Linked DNA regions of Alligator mississippiensis. The protein of the gene in region 1 interacts with the protein of each later gene in a pairwise test. Links are inferred from orthologs where the notes say so. Each region holds a gene or a part of one and is shown in the gene's direction. Other genes may lie near its edges. The genes, in order: LMO2, TAL2, heterogeneous nuclear ribonucleoprotein M and IFT43.

Region 1 (7,264 bases):
CTGGCATCTTACTTCCATGGAAAAGAAGGAGAATAAGACAGCTTCTTCTCCTGGTCATTGCCCCACTATTCTAAAGATCTGTATGTAGGTAGTATCTATATGATTCATGTGGCACTGCCAGCACTTTTACATACCCTCCAATTAACGAACTGATTATGTCACCTTTGGACAATTTGTCCATGATGTGAAAGCCTGACCAGGACCTGTACCTGGCAGACAGCACAATGACAAAACATGTAAAAAGCTTCCTCCGGTATATTCACCATTAACCAGCTGCTTCCCACTTTCTTCAGTCTTTCATTTGTGGTAGAGGTTCCTATTAGTTAAATCCAGAAAAAGCATTTCAGTGAGCTTAACTTCAAGAACATGAGGGGCATAGTCCTATTTCATTTATGTGCCCAAATAGCATTTACCTTGCCATGTAACTGCAGTTTTTGACCCTTATGCATAGTTTGCGGTCCTCTTCTACATGTAGCCTAGACGTATAAGTGTTCACAAAGATGCTAAGTATTCTTAGTAGGTTGTGCCCTGGCCAGGCATCATATTCATGTAAATCCTCAATTTATATCTGGGAAAAAGCCAATAACTAATGGCTGTTAGATGTTGGAAGAGGGTCTCCACCAGGTTTTAGCATAATAAGCAAATCATTGAGGCTCTTATCAAGGAAACAGGGGTTACAGGTTATAGTCCCCTCCCTCCATCTCTTGGTTATTAGCAAAGTGGTCTACCACCTGGCCATGGGTTAGACATTATACAATTCTCTCTTCTGCCTCTTCTTCCCTGGGCAGCCAAGAAATAAAGAGCTATGTAGGGCCAGGAGGAAGAAAACAAGCTGGAGGCTATATGGTTCAGTGACATGCCTGATTCCCTGGAAAAGAGAAGTCCCTAGATTCTACTTTGGCACTTTGTGCCCAGTGGGACACAAACTTTTCCACTGTTCTCCATCCATCCACTTTGCCAAGTGATAAATGCAAGGTGCAGTGGCTCAGCTTTAAGGAGAGCAATGTGCATAATACCTAACCTGCAACCTGGTGCTTAGAGCACTGTTGGAAACAGAAGGTATAGACTCAACCTCCGTCTGAGTGAGGAAGCCCTGCAACCTAGATCTACCACTTTTTGGGGGAGTTCCATAACCCCTAGTCTATTGGGCTAAAACATGGGAGGTTACCCATTCTCCCTTCTTCAAATACCTACTTGCCACCAGTTTTTATCTGCCTACAGTTTTAGGGTTTTTGCTCACCCAGGTATACACGTATGGTGCTACATAGCTGCACAACCAGAATATAACCTACAGAGTATGCTCAGTAGCCATGTGGGTGCTTGGTCATCCTGTGTGTAAGCATCAAGTGTCACAAACTGTTGTTACACAGCTGGGTAAGTGCCATTTGAGGGCATACAGTGAAATAGGTTCCTGCCCAAAGTGTCTCACTGACTTGAAGGAGTTTTCTCTGCTTGACATCTACGTCCAGACCAGGGCAGAGATGCTCCATTTGAGGTCAATGATGTCCAGTGAGAAGTTTCTGCACCTTGCAGGATTCAACCCTACATATTTTGTTTGAAGGTTTTCACCCATTGTTAGGTTTAGACTGTGGCTGGACTGTATCCAATAGGTCCTTCCTTTATATTGGCATTTCCTTGTTTTTTGAAATAAGAAACACATTTTTTTTTATTATTAAAAAGACTTTTAGAACAAACACTTTGATCATTGGCCCACCTTGGGAGTAAAACCCCTTGGAAAAATCCTACTCTACACATACTTTGTGTTGAGTATGGAACTGTGAATCTGTATGATCTGTTTTCAGATTTAGAGTTTCAAATTCAACCAGGTTCAAGTGCATTATATTATATAAAAATAATAAGATACACTAGGCCAAATTCTGCTTTTCTGCTTTTATACCTGTGCAATTCTCTGGAGTCTGGCATTTAATTATGGAAACAGTTATTGCACAAAATTAACTGATGGCTGAATCTGGCCCCTTCCATTTATTGTAAAAAGTTAATTTTTTCCCCACAATCCTTGGTCCTTTTATTTTAACCATGATTTTTTTTTTAATTGCAGTCCTTATATATATTCTTAATCCCCCTTTAAACTTTGTTTCTAATCCATAAAGCTGCCATCAAGTTCAGGCAGCTGAATTATTCTGGCTTTTAATAGTTTAATTATTCTGTCTCTCAGAAAGGTTTATTTTTTACTCCTGATCATAAAGTCAATATATGTGACATTAAGTATTCAGAATATAATTCAATCCTGCCTATAAAGCTATTTTTCTTTGACCAAAAATATTTGATTAGCAGAGTGGTTATCACACTGTAAGAGTTTAAAGTGTATTAGAGACAGGCTATTTAAGGAAACAGGGTGGCATTTCCTAATGATCAATGATGGCTCTAAAGCTGTGGTTTTCAACTTTTTTTCATTTGCAGACCCTTAAAAAAACTTGCAAACAGAGGTGCAGACCCCTTTGGAAATTTTGAATGGAGGTGCTTTGAATTGTAAGTGTGGGTGTTCACATACTTTTGATTGATCATAATTATTTTTTATGGACCCCTTGGACATAGCCTGTGGACCACCAGGGGTCTGTGGACCACAGGTTGAAAACCAGCGCTCTAAAGATTTGATAAAGCCTGGTCCAAGCCCCTTGAATTCAGCAGGAGTGTTTCCCTTGACATCACTGGACTTTGAACTTAGCCCTTTAATGTGTTTCAGGTTCTTATTCCCCTGGTTGCCAAAGAACTGGGTCAGGGGGTGGAGAAAAGATTAGAAAAAAGTCACAAAATAGACTTTAGATGAAATTTCTGAAATGGGAATAATAGATAAATGAGGTATTCCTTGGAGTCACTAGTGCTTTCCACTGTATTTATAGGAATTACTGGAGCAGACAGTTCACCTACTCCAGGACCTTGCCCCCAGCAACAGCCAACACCTCATGCTTCATTCACAGGACAAAAAAAAAGGGCTGTAATTGCAATAATAGGTTTAATTTCAATAGCATAAATCACTTGGCACCAGAACAGGCTGGAGAGAACCATCCTGCCTTGCTAGGGAGTTGGGGTGAAGAGGGACAAGAGGCAGGAGAGAGGTGGCAGGTTCCGAAGGGTCTTCCCCATTTCTAGCTTAGGCATGATTCATTTCACATCAAGCCTTTCCATGCCAGAGCTTTTATAGCTCATTAGTGGCAAACACCGGCAAGATATAAATTTCTTATATTGCTACTAAGCAGGACAATTGTGCAGACACCAGTGACTATATGAGGCACAGAGGAGAGACACAGGCACGGATGACACAGATCAGGGTAGGCTTGGTTCTGCTGTAGTGTGTGCTTTATGCCCTCATCTCAAAGCCCTGAGCAAAGGGGGTTGGATGGGGAGGGCACTTAAGTGTCTTTGGCTGTGCCAAAGTAGGGGGTGTTTTATGCCCTGATCTGAAAGCCTTGGGCAAAGGTGTTGGATGAAGAGGGCATTTTGATGCCTTTGGCTGTGCCAGTAACATTGTAGGGGGTGCTTTATGCCTTGATCTCAAAGCCTTGGGCAAAGGGATTGGGTGAAGAGAGCATTTCAGTAAAATAGTAGGGGATGCTTCATTCCCTGATCTCAAGGCCTTGGGCAAAGGGGTTTGTATGAGGAAGACACTTAATGCCTTTGGCTGTGCCAGTAACATAGTAGGGGGTGCTTTATGCCCTGATCTCGAAGCCTGGGGCAAAGGGGTTGGATGCAGAGGGCATTTCGGTGAAATAATAGTGGGTGCTTCATGCCCTGATCTCGAAGCCTTGAGCAAAGGGGGGTGGATGGAGAGGGCACCTAAGTGCCTTTGGCCAGTAACGTAGTAGGGGGCGCTTTAAAAGCAAACCAGCCCTGAGGGGCATTTCCCAGAAGTGTTGCCCTCCGTTGCGGAGCACCCCCCGCCCCGCTGCGGTCCCAGCCCTGGCTCAGGCAGAGCCCGCCTGGCCCTTTAAGCCGGCGGCCCCGCGGGATGCTGCTGCGTGCGCGGCCGCCCCCGCCCGCGGGCCAGGGGGAGCCGAGCCGGGCCGGGCAGCTGTGTGTCGGAGCGTGATTTCCTTCCATTGTATCGGAGTCGTGCCGGGGGAAGAGGAAATGAAAGCGGGGGCTCGGGGCTGCGCTCGCTCGCCCTCATGATGCTGGGGCTGGGCGCCGCCTCTGCAGAGAGCCCGCTCGGCCCGGCGTGCCCAGAGCTGCCCGGGCGGGGGGCGCGGCAGTGACAGCTGGGCGCGGAGATGGGAGGGTAGCCGGCTCCGGAGGGTCAGCCCCGCGGACGCCCCGGCCCAGCCCAGCCCAGCCCAGCCCAGCCCAGCCCGCTTTGTGTGCGCGTCTGTGGTGCGGCAGGAGGAAATCCCGCCCGTGCCCTTGGGGGGCGGAGGGGAAACTCCGCGGGCGACCAGGCACCGGAGCACACCGCCTTGCCTTTGTGGGGGCGCATCCCACCGCCGCCCAGCCTGCCAATGTCCTCGGCCATCGAGAGGAAAAGCCTCGACCCCTCCGAGTAAGTGCCAGCTCCCCCTCACCCCTTTTCTTTCCCGGGGTGCCGGTGCTGTCCGGGACCTGGCGAGCTCCGGAGGGAGAGGTGAGAGAGCCCGGCTGCCTTTGCCTCCCCCGGCTGCCTGACAGCGCGCAGGGCTCTGGCGTGCGAGGATGGCGGGTGGGGACCGGCGTGCAGCCCAGCTTCTCCATTTGGAGCCGAAGCCAGGTCCTGGCTTCATCCCAGCACACGGGCTTTGGGAGGGGGGGAGCCACCAGCCATCCCTCCCCATCTCTTTCCCTTCTCTCCTGGAGATCCAGCGAAGCCCCAGCCAGACTTCCCCAAAGCTTGAGGAGTGTTGCAGTCTGCCCCATGTTTGATCTGCCCCCCCTCCCCAGCTGACTAGACTGAAAGGTCAGAGCTGTTATCTGATGGGTGCTCAACTTCCACATTTTCATCAGGCCAGAGGCAGTTTGAAACTTTCGAGAGATGGTATTAACTGCCTGGCTGGGGGGTGGCTGAAAAGAGGGTTGGAAAGGAGCTCAGGGAGGACATCTAGTCCATCCCCCCCCCCCCCTCAAAGCAGGGCTGTCCCCAGCTAGATCATTCCAGCGGAGGCTCTGTCTGCCTGGGTCTGCAAAACCTCTAAGGATGGAGATGCCAAAATGGACCAGGGATCTTGAGAAGAGCAAAGAATTGTAGGTAGGGGGAAGTCTAAAGGGAGCCTTGTCTTTCTTTTTGACTAGGTTTGTGGAAAGAGGGTGGTTACATTCAGGATCTGACAGGAGCCTTCTGAGCTGGCTCTTCCAGTGTATTTCCTGCAGGCATCCCTTCAGACCCAAGCACACGCAGACCCACGCTTGTGAGAAGCGTGTTAATTCAGCCCAACCATGTGGTGTCATGGCACTCAATTCCAGGGCTGCGCATCTCCATTGCAGCAGTGCCTCAGACTTGGTCTGTGCCTCCTTGGCATCGTGACAGCACAGAATAAAAACCAAAACTTCAACAATTCTAGTGTCCAAAGTAAAGCTTAAATCATTGTTTCCCTCCCTCCTATAAAAGGCTTCATTAATCTGGGATTTGTTTCCTGCAAAGCATTTAAGAATATCATCTTTTGAAGCCCTCCTCTCATGCATTGCTCACAGGGATGCTAAGGTAGTTAGCTAGTTTTTCCTCATATTCTGCTTTTTAAGGAATTATAATGTAACCTCTGTGGTAGTTTCCCCCCTCTGTCCTACCTGAATTTCAGCTACAAAATTGAAACATTTTTTTTTTATTTAGTTGGTGTTCTGGTGAATTATTACAGGCGGTGACAGTCAAATTCATAAAAAAAAATCTCCCCCTGAAATCCAATTCCAAATAAACTTCTACTAGGCTATTTCAGAATTTAGGATGCTAGTAGCCAAAATAGGGTTTCAAATAACTCAGTCGTAGATCCTGAACTGACAAGAAAAGGGACAAGAATAATATAAAATATCATAGGGCACACAAATCTTACAAAGAGAGATACATTTATGGTAGAGGAACTGCTACAGTATAAGTCCATTGGATTTGCTTTAGACAAATGCTGTGTTCTGTGTTCTTTAGAACATGATGTTTTCAAGTCGGCATAAAATTCCTTTGTAGTTCTATATGCAGTGTCGGTTGCACTGAATGGACCAGAGAAACAGAGCGTATGCTCTGAAAATCTAGGGCCTGATCCTCTGCTTGTAGCAACTCCCTATGACTCTGCTAGCAATGCCACGTGTAGTGGGCTGTGGGGAGAGAGGGGAAGGTGGGGGCTGGTAGTCATGAGACAGTAAGAGGACAGAACAGCATGCACTGTGACAGTGAAAAATAGAAGTGCTTGCAGGCAGACAGATTCTTTATCGGCACCAAATCCTGACTGCTCTGGGAGTTCTGCTTGCATAAAAACAGCAGGATCAGGCCTTGTTGGGAAGTCAGGGAGCACAGTACATATTTCAGACCCTGAAGAAAGTCCTTTTTACTTGAAAGCTATTTTCCCAGTAAATAAAGTCTGATGAAGTCCTGCATAATATAACTCGAGGGGATCGAAAAATGTTAGTATCTGCAGCCTGCGGGAAGTGCTGACTGCACTCAGAGTAGTTGTGCTGACTTCTCTCAGTATAGTTATGCTCTGTTTCCTCCCCCCCCCCCAGGTTTGGCAGGGTACAGGCCGCCAGCAAATTGTCAACAGACCGTTGGCTATACCAATAACTGAATGATGTACCTAAGAATTTAGGGCTAATTTCTGCAAGGCGTTGGGCACTGTCTGACCCCAATCCAGCAAACTACTTGAGTAAATGGATGGCACAAGTCACATGCTTAAAGTTAAGTGTGTGCTTAAAGTTCTGATCCAATGGAATCATTCCATTGGCTTTACTGAGCTTTGGATGTGGCCCTAAATGCTTGGTGGGAGTGGGGCCAGCATGCTCTGCTCCTTGCTGGATTGAGTCCACAGTCTAGTCTTGTAATTTTTGCTCATAGTATTGCTAGAACTTGCAAAAAGGCAACACTGAGACTTTCTTAAGTAAACATATTTGCAAAAAAAGTATAGCTTTAGCCCTCTTGTATTAGTGCATCTGCTCTTTATTTTAGTGCTTGTTACAAATGATAGGATAGGAATAAAATGTTACTTTGGAATTGTGCAAAAGTGCCCTTTAATATAGTACTACAAAAAAGAATGGGGAGGAGGTGGGTGGCTGATTTTCTTTCCCCGGTGTGTAAATCAGCCATAACTCCTTGAAATTCATAGAACTATGGTGGTCTAAAGTCCATGTAGTACACTGGGAT
Region 2 (7,435 bases), on another chromosome or scaffold:
GGGTGGTAGAATGACACTGCTTCATTTTCACCTGTGGAGCCTTATTCTGATCAAATGGAAGTCTTGGACCAGTGTAACCCACTGAACTCAGTGGAGTTGTTGCAGATTTACACTGGGTCTGCTAATGTGAGATGTCAGGGTGGTTTGAAAGAATCAATTATTTAATCTGTCTGAGTGAGCAAAGCAAGAATCAGAAGTGTGGGGGGGAGGAAATGGCACCTTAATATCGAGCAGCTGCTGTATGACCTGGCACTTTATTTAAACACAAGTGTCAGTGTAGAAATGGATGACACTGCTTAATCAGTTTGAGGAAAGGTAGAAACTTTTGGCCTTTTTTTTAAGCATTTCATCCACTCATTTCTCTATACCAATGTATTGGTGCACTTCTACATCATATTATTATTTTGCTTTCATAAGCCCTCTAGCCACCATTATTACACTTAACCAAAGTGACAAAGTTTTGTAACGGCCTCCTTTGTATTGCCACCTCAGATTTTGTTAGCAGGCTCATTGCCTTCCATTAACTCTTATGGAAAACGAACTGTTCCATACAACCTGAAAAACAATGTTAAAGTATTGTGCACTAAAGCATTAGGAAATACCAGAATTAAAGCCTTCTACTAGAGGCTGTTGGGTGGAGGCCACTGTTCCTTTTACTCCCCATTTATCCATGGTCCTCTTCATACCTTGCCAGCATAGCTGAGAAAATGGATCTGGCTTTCCTGCAGTGGGAAAATCAGCGTAGTGTACATAAGACCTATGTTCTTAGGATCTGAGAACCTTCATTTGTGTCCTATGCACTCTGTTATCACCTGGGGATTGCTAGATTGTCTCATTCTGGTAATGGTGTGAGAAAGGGAAAGGGCCTCTATAAAGCCCTTGCAATTGCCATTGCTTCTTGCACCACAACAGGTTTGCTTTTTTTGGCCACATGTACATGAGACACAAGTACTAAATGATTGCGTAGTAACTGACGTTACTGCGCAGTAGCATCCCTGAACAGCTTTTTGGTGGCACTGACTGTGCAGTAGCTCATTCCTACTGCGCAGGAGTAATGAGCTACTGCTCATTTAGCGTCCTTTGTGTATTTTTAAAGACCGCTTATCTACAGAGGTGCAATCAGTGCAGTGCACTAAGCACATAGACATAGTAATACTCAAGCTTTACAATGATTGGTAATCATTAATATGAGTGAAATGCTGTAGTGACTGACTAGGTGTCCTTATTGAATGTTATGCCTGCATTCTAGCCTTCTGTTAATGGTTGTGGTCTTTTACTCTGACATAGGTACCTGTTTCCGAAGTTTACACTGTGTTGGACTGAGTTTGTAGAACTCAAGGTACGTGTGCCCTGCGAAACCCTGCAGTATATTGAAGCCAACTATGGCAAGGACTGGAAGGAACCTGTGAAGACATGGGACTGGAAAAGCTCTCCACCCAATGTACAGTACAATGGAATGTGGCCTGTTGATGAATGGGATGATGTCATTCAAGTCTACTGATCACCTGGATGTTATTAGAATGTGTTTGGTGCCATTGGACCTATCCAGTACCCCTTACTCCAAATTTTTAAGAACAATTTTCATCCATTTTCAAAGGAGATGTTTAATTTTATCTCACGTAACAGATACTGCACGTACTACTCTATACATCTACATCAGGCATTCCCCCAGACAGCTAGAGAATGAAGGTTGTATGTTGCAGTTGAGCAGACAACTGGGAGAAAGAGGTAGAAGGGCAATGATAGAATTGAAATAGAGTTATGGCAAAAAAAGTTAAAACTTGAGCCATGGCCAGATGCCTTGACTTAATTCAGTTTGGCCTCTGACCTTGGGATTGTTACTTCCCTAGCTATAGGAGAATGGAAGTCACAGAGGTTGACCCTTGCGGAAAGGGGGGATTTGGTTTGCCTAGAGCAGTGGTAGCCAACCTTTTTGGAAGGAGTGCCACAGATTAGCCCTGCACCATCCCCAGATGCCACTCACATCCCTATCCCTTGCATGATCTGCTGCTCTTTTTTCTGCTCTGTGCAGTTTCTGCCACTGTGCTGCCTGCCCTCTCCCCAGTCTGCCACATGCCATACACACAGGCTGCCCTTGCTGCTTGTGGCTCTCGTGCCACAGGTTGGCCACCTTTGGCTTAAAGTATCCATATTAAAGTGATATAGAAAAAAAAATTTGATCAACTGATGTGAAGCACTCCTACGAGCTGTAGCAGTCAGGTGAGCCTCAGGTTGCTGGCATATTGTTCAGTTACTCAGAGCACATGTGACTGCATTGTGAAACAGCATAAATGATCTATGTTGGGGTTGCATAGGTAGTCCTAAATAAAAAGTTGGGGAAGCCTCAAGAGCATTTTGCACATTGGAGGACATTTGGCCCTCCTTGTATTATGTCCCAAGGAAATCTGGGTTTGGAAGCCTGGTAACAAAAGAGAGGTTTTCTGTTAACTACTTTGTGGAAGTGTGCTGGGGAATATTATCCACAGTTTAATTATAATGTGAAGCCATATGCAGCAGGTAAATGCTTCATATGAAAGGCAGTCACTTATTCCATTCTTTGAAGTTTTAATCATGGTTTTCAACCTGGGATTTGCAAATTATTTTTTGTAACCATCCTTGTTTTCTTTTTGGATAGAAAGAAGTGGGGTGTTGAAATGTCTAAGTAGCACTACTCTAGTTTTTAAATGTAAATACAAGCTAATAATCTGTATACTACTGCTGCCATCTTGATTTACAACAGTGTAATCAAAAGTCTCCTACTGGGTTAACACTGAACTAAATTTTACACAGGGATGTATCCTATGTTGTTTATTGCACTTTTGATCAGTGCATTAAACTTCTTCATTTGTACTTTGAGAGGAAGCTGTTGGTGAATAATTGGGTTCGGTTAGAAACTGCTTGAATGCATCTAGGGAGAAATGAGTCAAAAGTGCTCTCAGTGGAGTTGGCAAAGTTACCCTACTTTAAATTGTTTTAGTCCCTGTCGGAGGACAAGACAAGAGCTGGGGGCGTTACTAATGGTATGACTGCCGAGTGTACTGGCACAAACCCTGGGGCACTTGGGTGCTTTCATTTGGTGTTAAGCATCCTTCATATATTTATATACAAGTCTGAAGACAGTGTTTCCTTTCTAGAGCATTATGACTGTATCCAAGTCACTGCTTCTCTGTCAGCAGCTGGTTAGATAGGACAAATCTTAGGTGTGTATTTAATTGTTATCTATCCATCCAGTTTTGCAGGTGTATGTGTTCAAGTTAACACAGTTTTGAAGAGCTAAAATAGCAGCTGCTATGTGGCTGTTTTACTGCTACACCATTCAGAGTGCACTCTGGGGCTTCCCTGGGATTTATACCCAAGAGCGCACTGTACACTTATTTCCTGCCAACCTTCCCAGTTCCTGAATGCTCCTGCCACTGAATGCTAAGCTAAATTATTCAGCATTTGGCAAATACTTTAAAAATTGTCACATCCTTAATTACCTGGAGTACTTTAAACACTACGGTAACCACAGGGATTTTGCTAAATTAGGTATGGGAAGAGGTAAAATTCTGCTGATGTGTTTACTTGGTGAGGTGTGAAGCATTGTCTGAAGGGAAGAGTTTTGTTTCTCAGGTAGATTTTTTTTTTTTTTTGGCGTTGTTTTCTGTTATAAATGGCTGAAGGCCAATTTTCTTATGATGTTATATAGAGCTCTATGTTGTCATGCAGTTTGGTAATTGAAAATGGTACAGTAGCTCTTTATACTTTTTTTTTTTTTTTTTTTTTTTAAATGTCACAGAAGGGAAAAGATAAGGTACTATCAGGATAGACAGTTTGCAGTTTGTCAAGTTTATGACTGTAACGGAAATAACAAAAAAATGCACATGCTTCAAGCGAAACAGAGTGTTTAAATGTCTGACTTTATGGTATCTATTTAATTTATTGTACATGTTAAAATACTTTCTCTTCAGAAGATACAGATTGTATTTTGTAACACCAATTAACTAATTAAGAGTTTAGTTAACATGTCAACATTCTGAGTTACCCTTTGTGCTCTGTTATCTAAGGCAGGGGTCAGCAACCCTAGGGCCGTGGACCAGATTTGGCCCACAAAGATTGCTCTGGCTCCTGAAGCTGCGATTGCAGTAGTGGCCAGGTCACAGGCCCACCTTAGTGCCATTAATTTGGTTCACCACTGCTAAAAGGTTGCTGACCCCTGACTTTGGGACAGTATTTTTCAGTACTGTTATTTACTGTGAAATAATATGGAAAAAAATGGTTTTGATTTTTTGTTTTCTATTGTTTATTGACTGTGTTTTACCTTAAGTTTTTATTAATAAACTCTGAAAACAGTGATAGCTGCTCAAATGTCAAAGATTTCAAAGTTTGAAATTTGACTGTATGAACATGACATGGGGGTGGAGGTGGTATTAGGTTAGTTTTTCACTTCACTTGTTGGAAACCATTTGTATCTTTGTTGTCACACCAATGTGGAAAAAAGGTTAAATCTTTGTTGCAGTCTTACTTGGACAGCTAAGCTTTCTCCTGTTTAAACTGTTGCTAAGCTTTTTGACTCAGGATTTTCATTCATCTATTTACAAGGTCTGCCTCTTGGTGAAATCAGATTTTTATTTCCCACCATCCCTTTCTCTGCAGACTTTCCACGATCATCTGAAAATACAAAAGGGCAATAGCAACAATAAGAAATTCCTAATATTTGGCATCCCAGTAGCAATGTCTACAGCAGGGGTAGGCAACCCTGGGCACGGGTGTCAGAGTGTGGCACATGAAGGCACTTTGCTTGGCATGTGCACCTTGGGGGTGGACGCCAGGGAAGAGGCCAGGGCTGCGCTGCCACAACAAGGATTGGGCCCCTCACAGCTCCCCTGCCATCCACTCCTGGCACACCAACTTCTTACAAGCCGAGCTTGCAGGTGTTTTTGCACTCTATCCTAAAATGTTGCTGACCCCTGGCCTACAGGTTTGTCCTACCTCTAGAACAGGGCTGGTAAACTCATTTGCCACCCTATAGGCTGGATGAGTGGTTTTGGGTTGGTCTGGTCCACAGACTGGTCCTGCAATCCAGATCCATCATGTGTCCCAGAGTGGCCAGAGGGGGTATTGGCATGCAGTGTACCTGGAGTAGGTGCCACATGCGGTGGTGGATCCAGCATGGAGCCACTGCTGCATGTGGCACACACAGCCATCCAGCACACCCTGCATGCTGCATCTGTGGGCTTACTCGAGACCTTCAGGCACCACTGAGGGACAGTTTATAGGGCTTCATTGCCTGGTCCAGCCTGCAGGCCATATCTTTGACGTCCCTACGCTAGAAGGTATCTGGCTTGCTTTCTTCATTTGTTAACTTACTGCTTTGCATTCCAGGAATCTTAGCTTTTAATTTATTATGATGAAAGAGCTAAAGCAGAGCAAGACATTATAAAGCAGCAAGAAAATGAGGTTTTACTGCAAGCAAATGAGGTAATGATGACAAACCCTGTTTATCACAACCCCCTGACTAACAATCCCAAAAGCAGAAACTGACTTTTTTGGGTTTTTAATTATGGTGCAGCAGATTTAACTAATCCTATTTTAGCAAACACCTTCTTTTAAAGAAGTTTTCTCTCAGTCCAACAGGGTTTGTTGTAATGAGCTTGTACTGAACACCAGGGCAGATTTAAACTTGGGGGGAGAGGCTGCATCAATTTTGCAAAATTTCTGCAGGCCCACATTTGAGAAACTCCATATTACAACTTCTTCTAAACAGGCATTGTTCCTATGAGGATAATTCAGGTTGTATCAGCCAGCCAGTGAGTTGTTATGCTCTGAAACCAAAAACATTTTCTTGTGCTTTATCCTCTTAGTATGTGGTTACCCCTTTCATGCTGGAGATCATTATAGCTTTATTCATACCTTGTTATGCCATACATTACTCCACTATTGCTTCAGGCAAACAAAAGCCAGTCTGACCCAACTTAATTGCTTGTGTCCTGCAAGCCACATTTTCCAATAACTCAAGGATTATGGTTGATAATATTTGCTTCCTGAACACTTCTGTCTGCTCACAGTTTTATTTTTAACATGGTTTAAAGAGGCACTGTTGAGCACGTGGTCTTTTTTTCCAGAAGAAGTATTGGAGATGGGCATGCATAACCTGGTGAATCACTTTTTTTTTTACCACTAGAATTGCTTTAAAGCAATTGCTTGTCATGGCTTTCTGCAGGTTGTTTCCTACTGTAGCAGGTTAGATGCCTGAGGACCATTATCATGCCCCCTACAGGTCCCCTAACTCCTAACAGATTATCTCTCTACACTCTTTTAAGGTCTCACCTTGCGTTCTTTCCTGCCACGTCTTGATGGAAACTTTATGAAAGGGAGGCTGCCCTCAGAGACTGGCAAACTTAAGGTGCTCTCTCTCTTATCCAGTGATTGATTCTCTCAACTTTGCTTGCCTTTAAGAGCTTATTGCATTGCTCCGTCCGTCCCTATACCACACCCCTTGCCTCACAGGTGTTTTGAGTCAGTAATCTGATGTGACACTTGTCCCTAAGTCACCAGGCCACCTCAGGCCTTCATTCCTTTATTGAGACTTCAGGCTTCCTGGTTGGTACCTTAGCCAAGGCCCTTTGTTCTCAACCTGGCTTCTGGGTCCCAGCCCCATGTTCTGCCTCATCAGGGTTCTGGGCCCTGTGGCCCCAACGCTCTAGGCACTCTAGCTATGCCTTGAGCCTGCCACAACAGGACTCAAGGCAATTGCATGCCCCTAGGGCACTAATGGCACCTCCAAGAAACACCCCTTACAGTCTGTCCCTGCCTGCCCCTCCTTTCCTTCAAGAGGGATGTGGATAACCTTGAGAGGGTTCAGAGGAGGGCCACTCGCATGGTTAGGGGCCTGCAGGCAAAACCCTACAAGGAGAGAGCGACGGCCTTGGATCTCGGGGCCTATGCAAGAGAAGGCTGAGAGGTGATCTTGTGGCTGCCTGCAAATCCAGCGGGGGGGTGGCGGATGGACAGCAAGGAATAGGAGATGCCCTGTTTACCAGGGCACCCCTTGGAGTAACTAGGAACAACAGCCACAAACTGACAGAGCAGATTCAGGTTAGACATCAGGAAGAACTTATGGCAAGGGTTGCCAGAATCTGAAATGGGCTTCCAAGGGAGGTGGTGCTCTCCCCTGCCTTGGGGGTCTTTAAGAGGAGGCTGGACATGCACCTGGCTGGAGTCATCTGACCCCAGCCCTCTTTCCTGCCCTGGGCAGGAGGTTGGACTCTATGATCTGCTAAGGCCCCTTCTGACCCAAACATCTATGAATCTATAAACATTCACTCCTGGCCTGAACCACCAGGCTGTCTCATGTACCAGGCCCTACTTACTGACTGTAGGTATCTAGGTTGCAGGTTGTCTCTCCTCAGCCAGGCAGTCTCCTTTAGCCTCCCTGTACTCAGAGCTCCTTCCC
Region 3 (7,653 bases), on another chromosome or scaffold:
GTTTAGTGGTTATTTGAGATACTCTTGCAGCAGCCACAGCTAAAAGTGGTGCCATTGCCTTTTAAGCATCACAAATTAGGACAGCCTCCAGCTGCTCTGGATTACTAGCAGTGCTTTAAACTTTTGAGGTGGGCCTTTTGTGCATGAGTAGTAAACAGTGAAAGTATTCCAACAACAGAACCAGTGTTGGATCTGAATACATACTATATTGGAATTGTTTGGCTGGGAGGTACTTCCTCTGGCCTGCAGAATTTTGGCCATTTACTTAAAACTGAACAAGAACAGACAAAACTAGGCTAATGATGACACTGCAATGGCCCTTCTTTTCTAATCTTGAGTACAAGTTCATATGTTATAGAATCTAGACTCTTTTCTTTAACAAAAGGGTTAATTGCATCAATATTTTGGAGAAAGATAAAATACCTTTAATTTTCCCCTTCTCCCCTCTTGCACCTCACTTTTTTATTTTTAATCCAGGGGTTCTTTACACTCAGGAATAGGTCCCTGTGTAGAAAAGCATAGTTAATAAATGAAAATCTGGTCACAACTCACTCTGCACTTTCTCTGTGCCGAAGCAATTTAATTCTCTAAGAACTGGTCTTCAAAGACTACTCTGTAACTCCCAGAGTCAAAATATGATGTGGATCTAATTTATAGCTCACTGCTCCTGGAGATGGAAAATTCTTATGTCAATCTATGGGGAGAGAGTGCCTACAGAAATGCATGGTAACAGCTATATAGTTGCACACACCAGCAGGAGTTGCTTTGTTTAAAAGTTTAGTGTTTTTACAATTTCAGAGCAGTGTAAAAACACTATAATATTTTCAGTAAATGCTATGGACCAACAGGGTGCTTGGTTTTTTTTGCCTGAAATGCCAGCAAACTGAACTTTCCTAAGTGCATTTAGAAATAAGGTGCAAAACAACTATGGTACTTCTCTGTGGGAAGCGACAAAATAACTGGCAGTTTAAATTGGCTTTGTTTTTCTGAAAACAAATTATTCCTAAACTTGTATTGTCTCCACAACTCCTTTCCCAACTATTGTCAAAGCAAGACAAGACACTTTGTGTATGCAATGTTTTCTTGCCATGTAAATCAATTAATTTTAATCTTTGGAACTAAATTCTGTGCACATTAATTGTTTAGTGACAAGCTGAAATAGTCTCATCAGACAATCACTGTACAAAAGGGTGGTGTCTCTGCCCTTTTCTGCTTACACATTCCTATAAAGGAAAGCACTGTTGTGATTCTTGAAGTGAGGAGAGGTATCCCAGTATCTGGCATTGGAGTACTTTGTTGACTGACTTGCTTCTCTGTCCACTTTTGCAGGCTGTCCTTGCCTGTTGCTTGCTAACCAATAACTTTGTATTCCTGATGCTTGCGTGATCTTCTAATACCCAGTCCAGGTGAGGAAAACATAGTACATTTTGGGATCTAGGTAGATCTCAAAAGACCTCATGAGACCCTGTCAGGGTAAGATAGTCTAAGAACTGGAGTTCTTTGACTTCTGTCTACCTGGAACCATACCATGCAACTACAAATGCATTCTGCATTTAGGACGTGTTTATTTCTGTTCTAGAATTGCTTTTTTGGATGCTGGGCTAGCATACCATTGAATTCCTGTTCTGAAATCTGGATACTCCTAGGAAGCCCATTGACTATTCTTAAAGAAAGTGATTTTTAAAGAGAGTAATTTTAAGATATAGCTTGTTTAAAACTTTAATATTGAGAGCCCTGATCAAAATTGGTACCAATTATAAGGTCCTCAGAGGGCTATTAAATTTAATGCTACAGCAGACTCCACTGAATCTTGTGGTTGAAAGATCAGAACTTCATTTAAAAGGCCATTAAGTTAATTAAAAGATGCTCTTAAAATCGGCTTTTAAATGTAGCTTTCTTACAATTGAGCCTGTGACCCTGGCAAAACCTGTTTTGGAAGGGTTGTGATCTTGTGTAGCAGCAGTTGAAGCTGACTTAATTTGGTGTGCAGAGTAATTCCTTTCATATTGACTAATTGCACATTGATCAGCAAAAAGTCATCCATTTCTAAGCTTGTGAATCTCGTTTTTTGGCTTTTTTGAAATGGGGTTTGTAGCTAATCTGGCAATTCTTAAATTAGCAAGAATGCAAATTAGATCTAAAACAATGTGGTTGGATTATGATGCCTGCTGTTTAAATGAATGGCATTCAGAATTTTGATAATGTTGACTATCTGACATTGATACTTTGGCAGGGCTTTTCAAAGTGGGCTATATGCTGCCTACATACAAAGCCTTTGTTTTTTCAGTTGCATGTCAGGATGTCAGTAAAAAAAAAAAAATCTGTAGCTTAGATCAGGGTAAAATTCTTCTTGGAACTGTCTCTAGAGGCATAGCTCAAATACTCATTTGTTATGCTATATCTGCTGATTTCCTTTCACTTTCCACTATGGATGGATCCAAATGGGAGAGTGGATATGGTGATGTCTAGCTTCAGAAACTACAAAGTTTTCTATTTCTGACTGCTTCTGGAAAGGAATTTCCAAACCCTTCAGGTAGCTAAGTAAATACTACTTATATGCTATAACACATTAGTCTCTTAACATGGGTGATGAAATAAATCTTTCTCCTCTAGCCCTGTGAAGAGAAGTAGGAAGGAAGCTGCTGACAGACATGGGGGGGGGAGGGGGAACCCAAAAACATCACTTTACTAGAAGAGAAAGCATGTTAGTTTGACCCAGCTCCCCAGCATCTATGGAATCCTCACTCTGGGGCTTTTTGGCACTTCTATATAAAGCCGATTTGAATCAGCTATTGGATAAAGGTGCCAGAAAGCACCGCTGAAGTGTGCAGTCTATGCCAATGTTGGGTGAGCCGTGTGACTTCTGGGCATGCGCTGGGCTCGGCCTGGCGGCACACCGATCTTAAAGTAAAGCGCTGTTTCATTTTTTGTTTGTTTTTCACATCTGTAAACAGATGTAAACAGAAAAACTCCTTTTTGTGTATTAAGATTTACTAAAAGACTGTGCTTGCCCCTTTCATAGCTGGAAGTCCTCTTATGTTGTCTTTAAGAGGGGTGGAAACTTCAAAGTATTTGGATATAGTCAGTGTGACAAGCCAGAAAAATAAATCCAAATAGGTTTCTCAGCTATATTTCTGCATGCCATTTATTACTAACTCAGCAGCTAGGTAGCTGTATTCTGAAGGCATAGAAACTAGTTGCAGTATTCATGAGGTGGGAGTCCTAATTGTGTGGAAAAATGCAGATTTATTTTTCCTACAAATTTTGACTTTTTGCTACAGATTTTAAAAACTTTATTTTAGTTTCTTGTCTTGGGCATGAAGATTATAGTAATGTTAATGGAGACTGTGTTGAAATAAATAATGGGCTTCAAGTTCTACTTTTACTTAGTGGAGGAAGGTATACTAAGCAAACTAAAATTACTGTTGAATACCTGATTATTGGAGATAATTGGGTCCAGTTTTGTTTTTAAAAATTCCCTCCTGTCCTTGAAAAATCCAGAGTGAAGCGTATGCTTCTGTTATATCTAGACGGAAACAGACTTTCCCATGGTAATGAGTGGGTCTTTAAAGACTGAGGAAACTGATATTGTGGAAATAGATGGTCTTGCAGTGGAGGAAAATCAAGGACATAAAATATTTAACTTTACTGCACATCTGTAATTCTCCAGTTCGGTGGTTTAGAGAATATGGAGTGTTTCTGGGCTTTCTTATAAGGCAGAGGCTCCATACAAGGTTGTTGATTGTTCTAAATTCCCATTGTTTTCTTGGCTTTTCTCCCTTGGTATATGTGTCGTCTGGAATCTGATTTGTAGTTGGTGAGGTAACATACGTGGAGCTCTTAATGGACGCTGAAGGAAAGTCAAGGGTAAGTGTTTGAGAGAATTTCTTCTGTGGATTTACTACATGACAAATGTAACTGTATGGTGGCGTGGAACCGAATGAAATCAGGAAGGTAGAGAGTGTGGATGTATAGTGGCTATAATACGTAGGTACAGCCCAAAGCCTCTTTTTGGGATGGGGAGGAGGTGGGACGGGATTTGTAGACAGTGTCAGCATTGTCTTCCACTGTGCTCAGTCGGTGTTGGCTGTGTGAATTACGCATGGACCCTCGTGATATGGTATATTAACGTAAAACTTGTGTCTTGGAAAATGTCACTGTAGTGGTTTGCTGAATTTGTAAGATCAGTGTGCAAAAGCAGGTTCTGTAAACATTATGCTTCCTTTGCCAGAAAAGAAGTCATATCTTTAAAGCTAAATGTACTTATTCTTAGTAGGTAACAAATGACTTCCAGTCAAATGAAATAATGTTTTAGAAAAATTTAGGGTGAGCTAACTTTTTAATTGTACGAAAGGGATATGATTTTTAGGATGAGAACATGGCAAGGATTTTGATGTACTATTGAGAACACGAAATATAAAATGTGTGGTGTTTTCTTGGAGAACCTGGACTTAGTTCTGCTTATTACAACTTCAGAAACTACAATATAACCCTAATAATGTATTAAGGGTTAATGTGGTATCCAGGTAATGAAGTTTTATATTGGGTAAGGCTTGTGTTTTGTACTTGCTTTTCTTATTGGGATTAAATTGCAAAGTAGTTTTAATGAATACTTTTTTTTTTTAAGTTAATTTTTTTCACTTTGTGTTTTTTCTTTTTACTTACTTTCTTTTCTCTCTTCCCTCCTACCCTCCTTGTTACTCACCTGTGAAATCACCACATCAAGGGATGCGCGTAAGTTTTATTTATCAATTTTGTTTTTTGCAGGGGATGGGGAAACTTCAAACTACAAGCAACATTCTTAGCTGTTTTGTCTCCCCACAGTGTTGTTGAATTCAAGATGGAAGAGAGCATGAGAAAAGCTGCAGAGGTTTTGAACAAGCATAGTCTTGGTGGAAGACCACTGAAAGTGAAAGAAGTAAGGCACTACACTTTTTTTTTCCTTGTAGTATTTTTGTTTTTAACATGAAGAGATTGGGCTAACTAAAGCAAGCCCCCTCCCCCCCCCCCCCAATAAATTTTGGATCCAAAACCTTTTAAGTATAAGCATCCAAAACTTCTAAATGTAAGTCTGTCTTGGGCCTGGTGCAGTTCAGCAGGTTTTATTATAGCTTTGGCTGCTGGACTAGACAGACTGCTTTTTAAGCAGATTTTCAGACAAACTGGGAAGCATTGAGAACACCTTGGAGGACAAGAGCCCAGTTCAGAAGGATCTTGATAAATGTGAAAGCTCAGCTAGAGACAACAGGATGATGTTTGCTGACAATTGTAAGGTGCTACATATTGAGAATGATCAAAAACAAAATGGGTGACACATGGCTGGATGGCAGCACTATAGAAAAGGATGTAAGAGTCTTGGTGGTTCACAGACTATAATTCTGCAGTGACAGCTGCACATTTGGGCTGCATCAGTACAGAGCATTCAGTGCAAAACATACGGGAGCTGATAGTACCTCTTCACTCAGCAGGGGCTAGGCCTCATCTAGACTATTTTGCAGTTTTGGGCGCTTATGTTTTTAAAGGGATGTGAAGAAGTTTAGAAGAGGTCCAGAGGCAATGAGAATAATGATAAAGAGCTTGGAAGGTTTGCCACATGGGGAGAGGCATGTTCAGCTTGCAGAAAACATGCTTGAGAGGGGGCATGATGGCTATCTCATTGGCTGTGATAAAGAAGAGGGAGAATGCATCCCATCCTCTGCAGCAATGAAAGAAGGCAGACAGATAGCTTAAAGATGCAGCAGAGTAGGCTTAGATTGGATATCAGGAAAAACTGCTTCACTGTTGGAACAGTGCTGCAGTGGAATAGACTGCCTCGGGAAGTTGTGAAATCTTGGTCATTGGAGGTTTGTTTTCAAGAGATTGGACGAGCATTGTCAAAGGTGATCTACAAGTAAGTATGTCTGCAGTGTGCTGTAAAGAACAGTTGAAAGTCTAGGAGCTAGAATATGTATATGGGTTGGATATAGAAAGAGCAATTCTGGCTGTCCAGTTAGGTATGCGTGAAGTCATGCTTGCCGTCTTCACCTTTCATTCTGCTCTGCAGTCTGTTGTCAGCTTTTTTCCTCCCATGCTTCTGGGTTTTCCTGGGTGCTGCATGAGTTGGAGAGGATTTTTTTTCCCCTTCTGTTGCTACAGGTGTCAGGGTTTCCCCACTTCCCCCACCTTCCTCAGTAGCTTTGGTTGTTGGTTGTAGCCAAGGCTGGAGCCTTGATTGGGATGTACCAGTGCTGGTACTGGAATTAAACCCAGAGGTTTCTTGTTAGAGGCCTTGCCCCTCTTTTCAGACCTGTTGCCTTATTGGGGGTCAGGAATGAATTTTATTCTGTGGTCACATTGGTATGGACTTTGGGTTTTGTTTTGTTTTGTTTTGTTTTTTTCCTTCTTTGTAGTTGTGGGGGAAGTCCTGTGTCCTAGGTTAAGTGTTCAACACCCCAATGTATTTTTAAAAGGAAATTAAAGTGAGAATCACTGGACATCAGGAACTTAGAAAGACAAGAAAACAACAATCTTCTAGCTTTTCAAGATTAGGAACCAAGAGCATCTGATTAGACTTTCCCTCCTGCCACAAACAACCCTTTAATATACTGTTGTACTGCTATTTATCACTTTTTGGGGGGGTACTCCTTCAGACGGCTTTCATTTGAATCTGTTTTTAACTTTACTAGTATGGCTCTTGAATTACTATGATTGTTTTGATGTTAACAGGAAAAGGAATAAGAAGTTAAGATTGGACACACAAGAGCTTATAATATAGAAGGGTTTATTATGATTCTTGTACTGATTCGGCATTTAAATTTCCATGTGGTTACTGAAAACGCAGCATTGGCTCCAGGGTCAAACTGAGGAGTTCAGTGCATCATGGTAGCTTATGGTGCGTGTTTACTGTTGCAGGATCCTGATGGGGAGCATGCTAGAAGAGCAATGCAGAAGGTGATGGCAGCAGCTGGTGGGATGGGCATTGGCCCAGGACCAGGTGGCCCTGGAATGATTAATATCCCACCCAGCATCCTCAACAATCCCAACATACCCAATGAGATTATTCATGCCTTACAGGCTGGGAGACTTGGAAGCACTGTCTTTGTTGCTAATGTAAGTACACTCTCCTGTTTGACAGTAGATTTAGGCTCTAGCTGAATTAAGGATACCTTAGTTTGGGAAACTAAAGAGTAGTACTCCTTTGCAAAAAGCCCTGTTTGTCTTCAGTTTAGGGATGTAAATATTGTTTAAAAAAATATTCATTTAACCTCCTCAAATTATATCGGTTAAATGGTTAATGGATAACACAGCAGCTTAGATACTGCTGAGGCTGGGAGCTGCTCCCAGGGCCCTTTGCCTGGGGTGGGGAAGGTAGTGGCAAGCCCAGCCAGACAACACAGCTCACATGCAGCCTGGTGCTGGGAGGGAGGGAACACTGGTGAAGGAGCAGCTTATTGCTTAATTGACAAGTCATTAGGCTGTCTGCTGTTTTCCTCTTAGGCTATGTCTTCCTTGCCCTTCCTCCTCATTTCTCCCTCCCTCCCTTCTGCCTGCCTGCCTTGCTGCCTTCTGGTTCCTGCTAGGGCACCTTCTGCTCCTGCTCCCCCTCTACCCCCCACCCATTTCCCTCAGACTATACCTGCCTTGAGTTAAGTGATAATTATTAAGCTAACTGGT
Region 4 (6,883 bases), about 45 Mb from region 1:
GCAGCTCATCTGCTGAGAGGGTTGAAGGAGCTCCAGACTGCTGAAATGCCAGTGACAGTAGGTCACTCTCCTTCTCCTTCTGGATGGTCCTTTAGGCTAGTGGTTGGTAACATTTCTGCAGTAGGGGGCCACTTTAGCAGAGCTTGACTGCTCAGGGGCTGCTTCCAACCCAGTCTGTGTTGCCGAAGCCAGAATATTCACTCCCTTTGCACTTATGCCAATTCTCCTTGCTGCCCAGCTGCTGCACAGGTAAAGTCTTCCACTGCTAAAATCCCTCGGCTCTGTAGCCCAGATAAAATAGCTCTGCAGGCTGGATCTGGCTCGTGGGTTTTAGGTTGCCAACATGTGTTCTAGTATAATCCAAGTGAAGAACAGCCCCTGGTGGCTCAGAGAAGCAACTGCTGGACAGTCACACAGCACTGAGGCATCAGTGCCCAGCTAAACTGTGGTGAAACGTGGAAGTGTTGTTCAATACATGAATGAAGTGTCTGACACTTGGTAGCCCTGACTGCCAAATCTAAGTGGTGCTGAGAGCTTGAGGGCCTGGGGGATGTACTGCCTGCCTGGAGCTCAAATTCAGGATGTCACAGAGAGACTACCAAAGCTCATCCATCCCTATCCCTTCCTGCTTGTCCATGTAGGAACCAACAGTACTGTCAGGAATTACAATGAGCAGATCAGAGGTGACTCTGAGGCGCTTGGCAGGAGGATTAAGGAGCTTGGAGCACAAATGGTGTTTTCATCAATTTTTTTTCTGTGGAAGGCAAGAATTCAGGGAGAAATCATTGTATCCTGGAAGTGCCTGAGACAGTGGTGTCAATGTGAAGACTTAGGCTTCTTCAAAAATGGGTCGATGTTCTTGGGAAGAGGACTGCTATCAAGAGATGGGATCCAGCTGATGAGAATGGAGAAGAGTATCTTTAGGCATTATCCGACCAACCTGGTAAGGATGGCTTTAAACTAGGTTCCATGGAGAATGGTGATCAAAACCCTCTAGCAACAGGGCACACAATTCAGAGGGGAAAGGACTCAAAGAAGCAACTTAACTCTGGGAAAGGGCCAGAGATCTACAGGATTGCAACAACTGGTGCAAAAGGGAAGCGAGTAGGTCAAAATGCAAAATACATCCAATGCATGTGTACAGTTGTGAGAAGTATGGTTAATAAACAAGATGAGCTGGAAGCTGAAGCCGGTGAAAAGAACTATGATCTGATTGGCATCACAAAGACCTGGTTTTACCAAGATGAGTCTACAGTGTGATGCAGCCATACAAAAGGCAAATGCAGTTTTGGGATGCATCATTAGGTGCAAGACATGTGAGGTGATAGTGCCTCTCTACTTGGCACTGGTTAGACCTCATCTGGAGTACTGCATGCAGTTCTGGGTTCCAGATTTTAAAAAGGACATGGAGAAGTTAGAGAGGATCTAGAGGCAGGCAACAAAGATGATAAAGGACTTGGAAAGCAAGTTGTATGAGGAAAAGCAGAAGCAGCTAAGCATGTTCAGCTTGCAGAAAAGGTGCTTAAGAGCAAATATTTGAAGGGCTGCCACAAAGAAGTGGGAAAGAATCTTTTTCCTCTTGTTCCAGAGAGGAGGATGTGGGGTCAATGGCTTGAAATTGCAGCAAAGTAAATTTAGATTGGATATCTGGAAAAACATCTTCACTGTTAGAATAGTGAGGCAGTGGAATAGGCTGCCTAGGGAAGTTGTGAACTCTCCAGCACTGGAGATGTTCAAGATGTTGGACAGTCATTGGTTAAGGATGATCTAAGAATAGCTATACTTATTTTCTACTATGAGTATTTCCCATTCTTCTGGGATTTTTTGGTTGACCTTGTCTACCTCTACCCCTCTTTCTGCTATATGTGTCAGGGTGCTGTTAAGCCTTCCTCAGAGACATTGGGTGTTGATTACAGCCAAAGCTGGAGATTTTGACTGAGGTATGCCAGTGCTCCTACTGGGACCAAAGCTGGAAGTTCCTGGCTACTAGGCACCAAAGCTGGAGGGTCAGAGCAATTGCCATGTTTGGGGTCAGGAAGGAATTTTACCCCATGGTCAGTTTGATATGGACTGCAGGGTTTTTGCCTTTGTCTATAGCAGGAAGCCTGGCCCTCTGTCCTATATCTCTTGGGTATATATTGACATTTCATTGGAGCAGGACATTGGCTGCTGTGGTTCCCCTGCTTTACCTGTGGCAGGTTAGGGTGTTAGGTCTGTGTTGATGGTAGTCTTATGTAGAGTTCAGATTATGGGTTGTATAGGATGGTTTGGAATGATCCTTCTTCAGGCAGGGAGTTGGATTAGATGACCTCTGGAGGCCTCTTCCAGCCCAACTTCTCTATGATTCTATCTGAAAACTTGTCTAACTTTATCCCAGCTATACAGTTGATCCAATAAAGGATCTCACCCCAAAAAATCCTTGCCTCTCGCATAAATATTTGTAGACCTCTGGAGCCCAAACTGCAGAAACCACCAGAATGACATTTCTCGTTTGCATCATTGTCTTGAGTTTTGTGTGGTAACAAAAACGAATTGGCCCATGTACACATCAGCAGTCTGTTAAACCACTTTACATATAAACTAAATGCAGAAGAAAGACCAAGTGAACCTGGTCACTGGCTGCTTCTAGAACTTTGCTTTTATGCCAATAATTAATGGTGCACACATAAAGAGGGGCATAGATATGCTTTAGACAATCACAGGAGCAATAATAGTTCATTAGAGTCTGATTTAGTGCTATGATTTGGATAGCTGTGGTGAGTGTGGGGGTGACGGGGAATGGTCTGTAGTGGGGATTAGATGAGCCATGTCTGAGCAGTTCAGAGAGAACCAAAGCAATGTGACAGTCATGCTCTGTTCCACCCTCCATACACACTGTCTTCTCCTCAAGCGTATCTTGTTAGGTACATTTAAAGTTCCTTACCATGACCCCATACTTAACATGCGGTACTGACCCTTAAAAGGAAGCTGCAACAAACCAGCTTCACATTTAATTCTGTGCTTATCCTCACAGACATCAGCACCAGAACCTTGTCCTTAGGACTGGAAGTGCTTGTCATGTGAACCCTTTCATCCTTAGCACACCTCCCTAAAATCAGCTGCCATTGCAGACTAATCAAGTACTTCAGAGAGGGATCACTGTCACTGACAATGTCCAGCCGGTTTGAAAACCAGATCTGATCTCACAGAATAGCTGGAATCTATCCAGTCCTCCCCTAGTGGTGCTGCCCACACACTGGTTTTATTGGTCATCCTTGAAGTCCACCCTTGGTAAACAGCAGCCGGGCACATGGCAGCGAATCAGCAGCACACAGCAATACTACACTACAGTTAGTACTAACTACACTGTATAGGCACGCCCATACTGCGCGGTTATTTTCAGTTAGTGCGCTGTAACCTAACTTACTGCGGAGTAAATGTGCACGTGTAGGCGCAACCCCTGAGAGTGACTTGGGTTTTGCATACTCTGCGCCAATGAGCTGCCTCCAAAATGATTGCACAGTTTGAACACTTTCACTGGGATTGATCGGGCATGGTACACAGTTTGCTGTTATCCCGCAAATAGGACCATTCTCTGCACGTGGCAACAGGGCGGGACGTGCGTGGCGTGGCGGGGCGGGGGCGGGGAGGGCCGGGCCGGGCCCAGCCGCCTTCGCTGCGCTGCGCTGCGCTGCGCTCCTAGCGGGGCGGATCCGGGCAACTCGAACCTCACCTTGACCCACGGCTCCCCCTCGTTCCAGTGCAGCTTCCCCTTTATGTGCGCCCGCTCCGCCGCTGCCCTCCGAGCTCCCTGCCCGCCGCCCGAGCCCCTTTAAGGTGGGGAGGGGGCGGCTCAGTTGCTAGGGACGCGGAGGGGCGGGGTCTTTCCCGGAAGTGGGCGGGGCCTGGCGCGGCATGGAGGCCGAGTTGGAGCTGGGCGAGGGTGCGCGACGGGGGGGTTCTGCGGTGAGATCGGACGGATCCATTTCCACTCCTGTGGGGGGGCGGCGCTGGCCCCTCCTGCTTGGCTTTGGCACGCGCAGGAGCGGCGTCCCGTGGCCGCGGCGGGGCCGCCTGGGTTTGCCCAGGGCGGGCTACGGGCTGGGCTGGGTGCGGGCCTCGCTGCCTTCCGCAGGTCCCTGTAGCCCTGCTTCTGCCGCTTGTGCCTCTCACTCCCGCCACTGGGACGTGGAGGAGGAGCTGCCCCAGCCCCGACTCTTGTTTTGAATTGAACCCGCATCCCGGGAGCAAGGTGAAGCCTCCTCCGCCTGGCCCTGTCCTTTGGGCCAAGCGTGGGTTCCAGCAGGGACTTGATTTGGCAATGTTGCTCCCCTGGTATCTCTGTGCCAGCGCTTGTAGCCAGGCCTGTGGTTCTGTTTGAGCTGAGGATGTTCCCTGGAGGAGGCTGGGCAGGTGGCCCTGGTAACTTGGCCCGAGGAGCAGCAGCTCTTTGCCTTTGATCACCACGTTTTATTGCATTTCTATTGCCGTGGTGGCCACAGACCCACATCAGTGCCAGGGCTTCATTGCATGGAGAGCTGCAGCCTGGGCATTGAATCACTGGCAGGCTAAGGTGACACGTGGAATATGGGGCAAGGCGGGGGGTGGATATGATTAAGTGGTACAATTTTACAGTCCTGTTCAACACAGGCTCGAGTGTCAGCTCCCCTCGTGTGTGCACCTATTAACTGGCTATGCCTTTTTATGGACATTGTTGCAGAGTTAGATTTTTGAGTAGTGGCTTGAAGAAGGTTAGTGGTTTTGTGACTTGGCTCCAGGAGTGCGAGCCAGGCATATGGTGTGATGTGGAAAGTGGCTGTGTGGGCGGTAGACAAAGGGGCACCTGCTGCTGGTATTCTTGGTCTGTTTGGGCATCACTGCACTGGGTAAACATTGTAGCGGGGAAGCTTGTTTGTGTTTCCATGTTGGCAGTGCCCTCAGGATGCCATTGTCAGTAACTGTGCTCTGTGCCCTTATAGGTGGCAAAGATGGGTCGACGAGCTCGCCAGGATTCCTTTCCAGATGAAAATCATCTCAGCAGGAAGAATTCCTCTACAGCTTCAATAGGCGAGGTGGGTGCCCAGGGGCTGGACCACGTGTCTGCAGTATAGGCTGCAACTAAAACCTGATGCTATCCCCATTAGAAAGTTCTTCATATCTTGTAGGATCTTGTCTTGGCCCCTGTGCTGTGAGATGTGCTCTTACAGCTAGAGTCCATAGCACCATTTTTTCTTACTGAAAGTGCTTTCCAGTGTCTCAGTGCTGTGCTGGCCTCTTCAAAATGGAGTATTGTACAGGGGATTAGATATGAGGCCATGATTTTCTGAGAGAGAGATGCCTGCATGGGAGTTCAGAACAGGATGGTATGGGGGACCCAGGACCTGTTGTGGGGAAAAGAGGGGTGAATGCAGCTGTTGCTTTGAGTGCTTTTTCCCCAGTTTTGGATTCTCTCCTTTGTACACTTACTTCGTGCTTGCAAGATCAGATTGTCTTAGCTACCCGTGTCCAGGGGGCTGTGTCTGTATCCTAGATGCTGTTGCATGCTCCCCAGTGTTCAGACTCTTCAGCACTCCCAGGCACAGCCACCTGTTAGCTCCTTTTTACCCTCAATCATAGCAAGACAGAAGTCTTGGGAGCATCTACTCTTTCTCTACTCACTGTACATGTTAGAACCATAGTTTTTTATAATTGCCTGCTGGTTTAAAAAAAAAAAAAGAGAGAAAAAAGCATTTTTTCCTTGGATAAGCTTTCATTAGGTTAGACCCTATAAAGGGTCTATAAGAGGAACTAGTTTCATGACAGAAATTAAATCAGCAGGATTTGAGAACTATCCTTGTGATGCTTTGATGCTTGTTAATGATAGACATCTTCCCCACATCCCAGAGCAAAGTTCTGTCCATTGCTTCCTTCAGGCTCATTCAGAGTGAAGGGAAGCTGGCCTGGAGTTCCTTAACTTTTTGAAAGAATGATAGTTTCCTCAGCTACCAGCAGGGAGGTTATGCCAGGGCCTCATCCCTTTTTGGTCTGTCTTTTCGTTAGTACCCCGATGAGCTGAGATTTCACCCTGTGTTCCAGTTTTCATTTATCTGACAGGGGCAGAACAGAGCACTGCTCCAGAAAAGAGCCATGTCCCTGGTTGCTGTCCCTGGCACTTTGCATACAGACAGTAATACAAATCACTAGACTTGTGACTTGTCTTGAATCACTTGTTTAATGGCTGTAAAGGCATTATTTAAAGGCCCTTTTAGGTGCTTGATACTGCCCTCCAAGACTGTGTGTGCAATGTCCTTTAAAGTCAAGACACTGCTCTACCCTTGGTACTAGCTGTGATGCAGATGTTTTGGTAACTAGACTCTCTGTGCCAGATGCCTCTCTACTCGGGACCCCAGCACTTTCCACCATGATACTGACTGCTTCTGTGGTACCTAGATCATATGTGGTACCAAGTAACTTATTAGTCAGCTTGGTAGCACAGTAAATTCTCCTCAAGAGATTTTAGTGGATGATATCTAAATTGCCAGGTTAAAGAGGTATCTTTGGTATGGACTTTAATGGTATCCTTAGACGGGTCACACCTAATGGAACAACACCATCTTTGAAGAAAGTATAGTCTTTTCTGCTGAGCGAAGTAGAGGTTCATTTCACATCTTCCCCTCACTGGGAGCTCACAAGGAGTAGATTTGACATTCTACAGAGGAGTCTACAAAAGGTTTGTGGAAAGAGACATAATGGTCTGTCTCCAGCATGTGTCCCTTATTAAGTACTCTCTGTTTCCACTTATGACCATATTGGGCAAATTGATTTCGTAGTTTCATAGTTGATAGTTGGAAGGGACCTGAGGAAATCATCTAGTCTGACCCCCTGCCATGGCAGGAAAGAGTACTGGGGTCAAATGACCCTGGCC

Evidence for each region.
Region 2: the proteins of LMO2 (region 1) and TAL2 interact in a two-hybrid assay, tested with the Homo sapiens proteins (2 studies listed by BioGRID and IntAct). The link is inferred for Alligator mississippiensis from reciprocal best matches to the Homo sapiens genes LMO2 and TAL2.
Region 3: the proteins of LMO2 (region 1) and heterogeneous nuclear ribonucleoprotein M interact in binary tests that used the Homo sapiens proteins (3 or more experiments, as listed by UniProt). The link is inferred for Alligator mississippiensis from reciprocal best matches to the Homo sapiens genes LMO2 and HNRNPM.
Region 4: the proteins of LMO2 (region 1) and IFT43 interact in binary tests that used the Homo sapiens proteins (3 or more experiments, as listed by UniProt). The two-hybrid records come from large-scale screens. The link is inferred for Alligator mississippiensis from reciprocal best matches to the Homo sapiens genes LMO2 and IFT43.

What each region holds. Positions count from the first base shown.
Region 1 is NC_081825.1:217,121,792-217,129,055, reverse strand, and holds the start of LMO2 (rhombotin-2), read left to right. Parts: upstream 1-4,256; 5' UTR 4,257-4,454; coding exon 4,455-4,495; intron 4,496-7,264. UniProt on the Homo sapiens protein: Acts with TAL1/SCL to regulate red blood cell development. Also acts with LDB1 to maintain erythroid precursors in an immature state.
Region 2 is NC_081826.1:158,376,207-158,383,641, forward strand, and holds the start of TAL2 (T-cell acute lymphocytic leukemia protein 2), read left to right. Parts: upstream 1-4,430; 5' UTR 4,431-7,435. Other genes in the region: ribitol-5-phosphate transferase FKTN, read left to right, coding at 1,288-1,501.
Region 3 is NC_081839.1:10,276,279-10,283,931, forward strand, and holds the start of heterogeneous nuclear ribonucleoprotein M, read left to right. Parts: upstream 1-4,639; 5' UTR 4,640-4,734; intron 4,735-4,824; 5' UTR 4,825-4,840; coding exon 4,841-4,918; intron 4,919-6,891; coding exon 6,892-7,089; intron 7,090-7,653. Other genes in the region: heterogeneous nuclear ribonucleoprotein M-like, read left to right, coding at 3,815-3,879. UniProt on the Homo sapiens protein: Pre-mRNA binding protein in vivo, binds avidly to poly(G) and poly(U) RNA homopolymers in vitro. Involved in splicing.
Region 4 is NC_081825.1:261,780,332-261,787,214, forward strand, and holds the start of IFT43 (intraflagellar transport protein 43 homolog), read left to right. Parts: upstream 1-3,873; 5' UTR 3,874-3,894; coding exon 3,895-3,945; intron 3,946-4,958; coding exon 4,959-5,051; intron 5,052-6,883. UniProt on the Homo sapiens protein: As a component of IFT complex A (IFT-A), a complex required for retrograde ciliary transport and entry into cilia of G protein-coupled receptors (GPCRs), it is involved in ciliogenesis.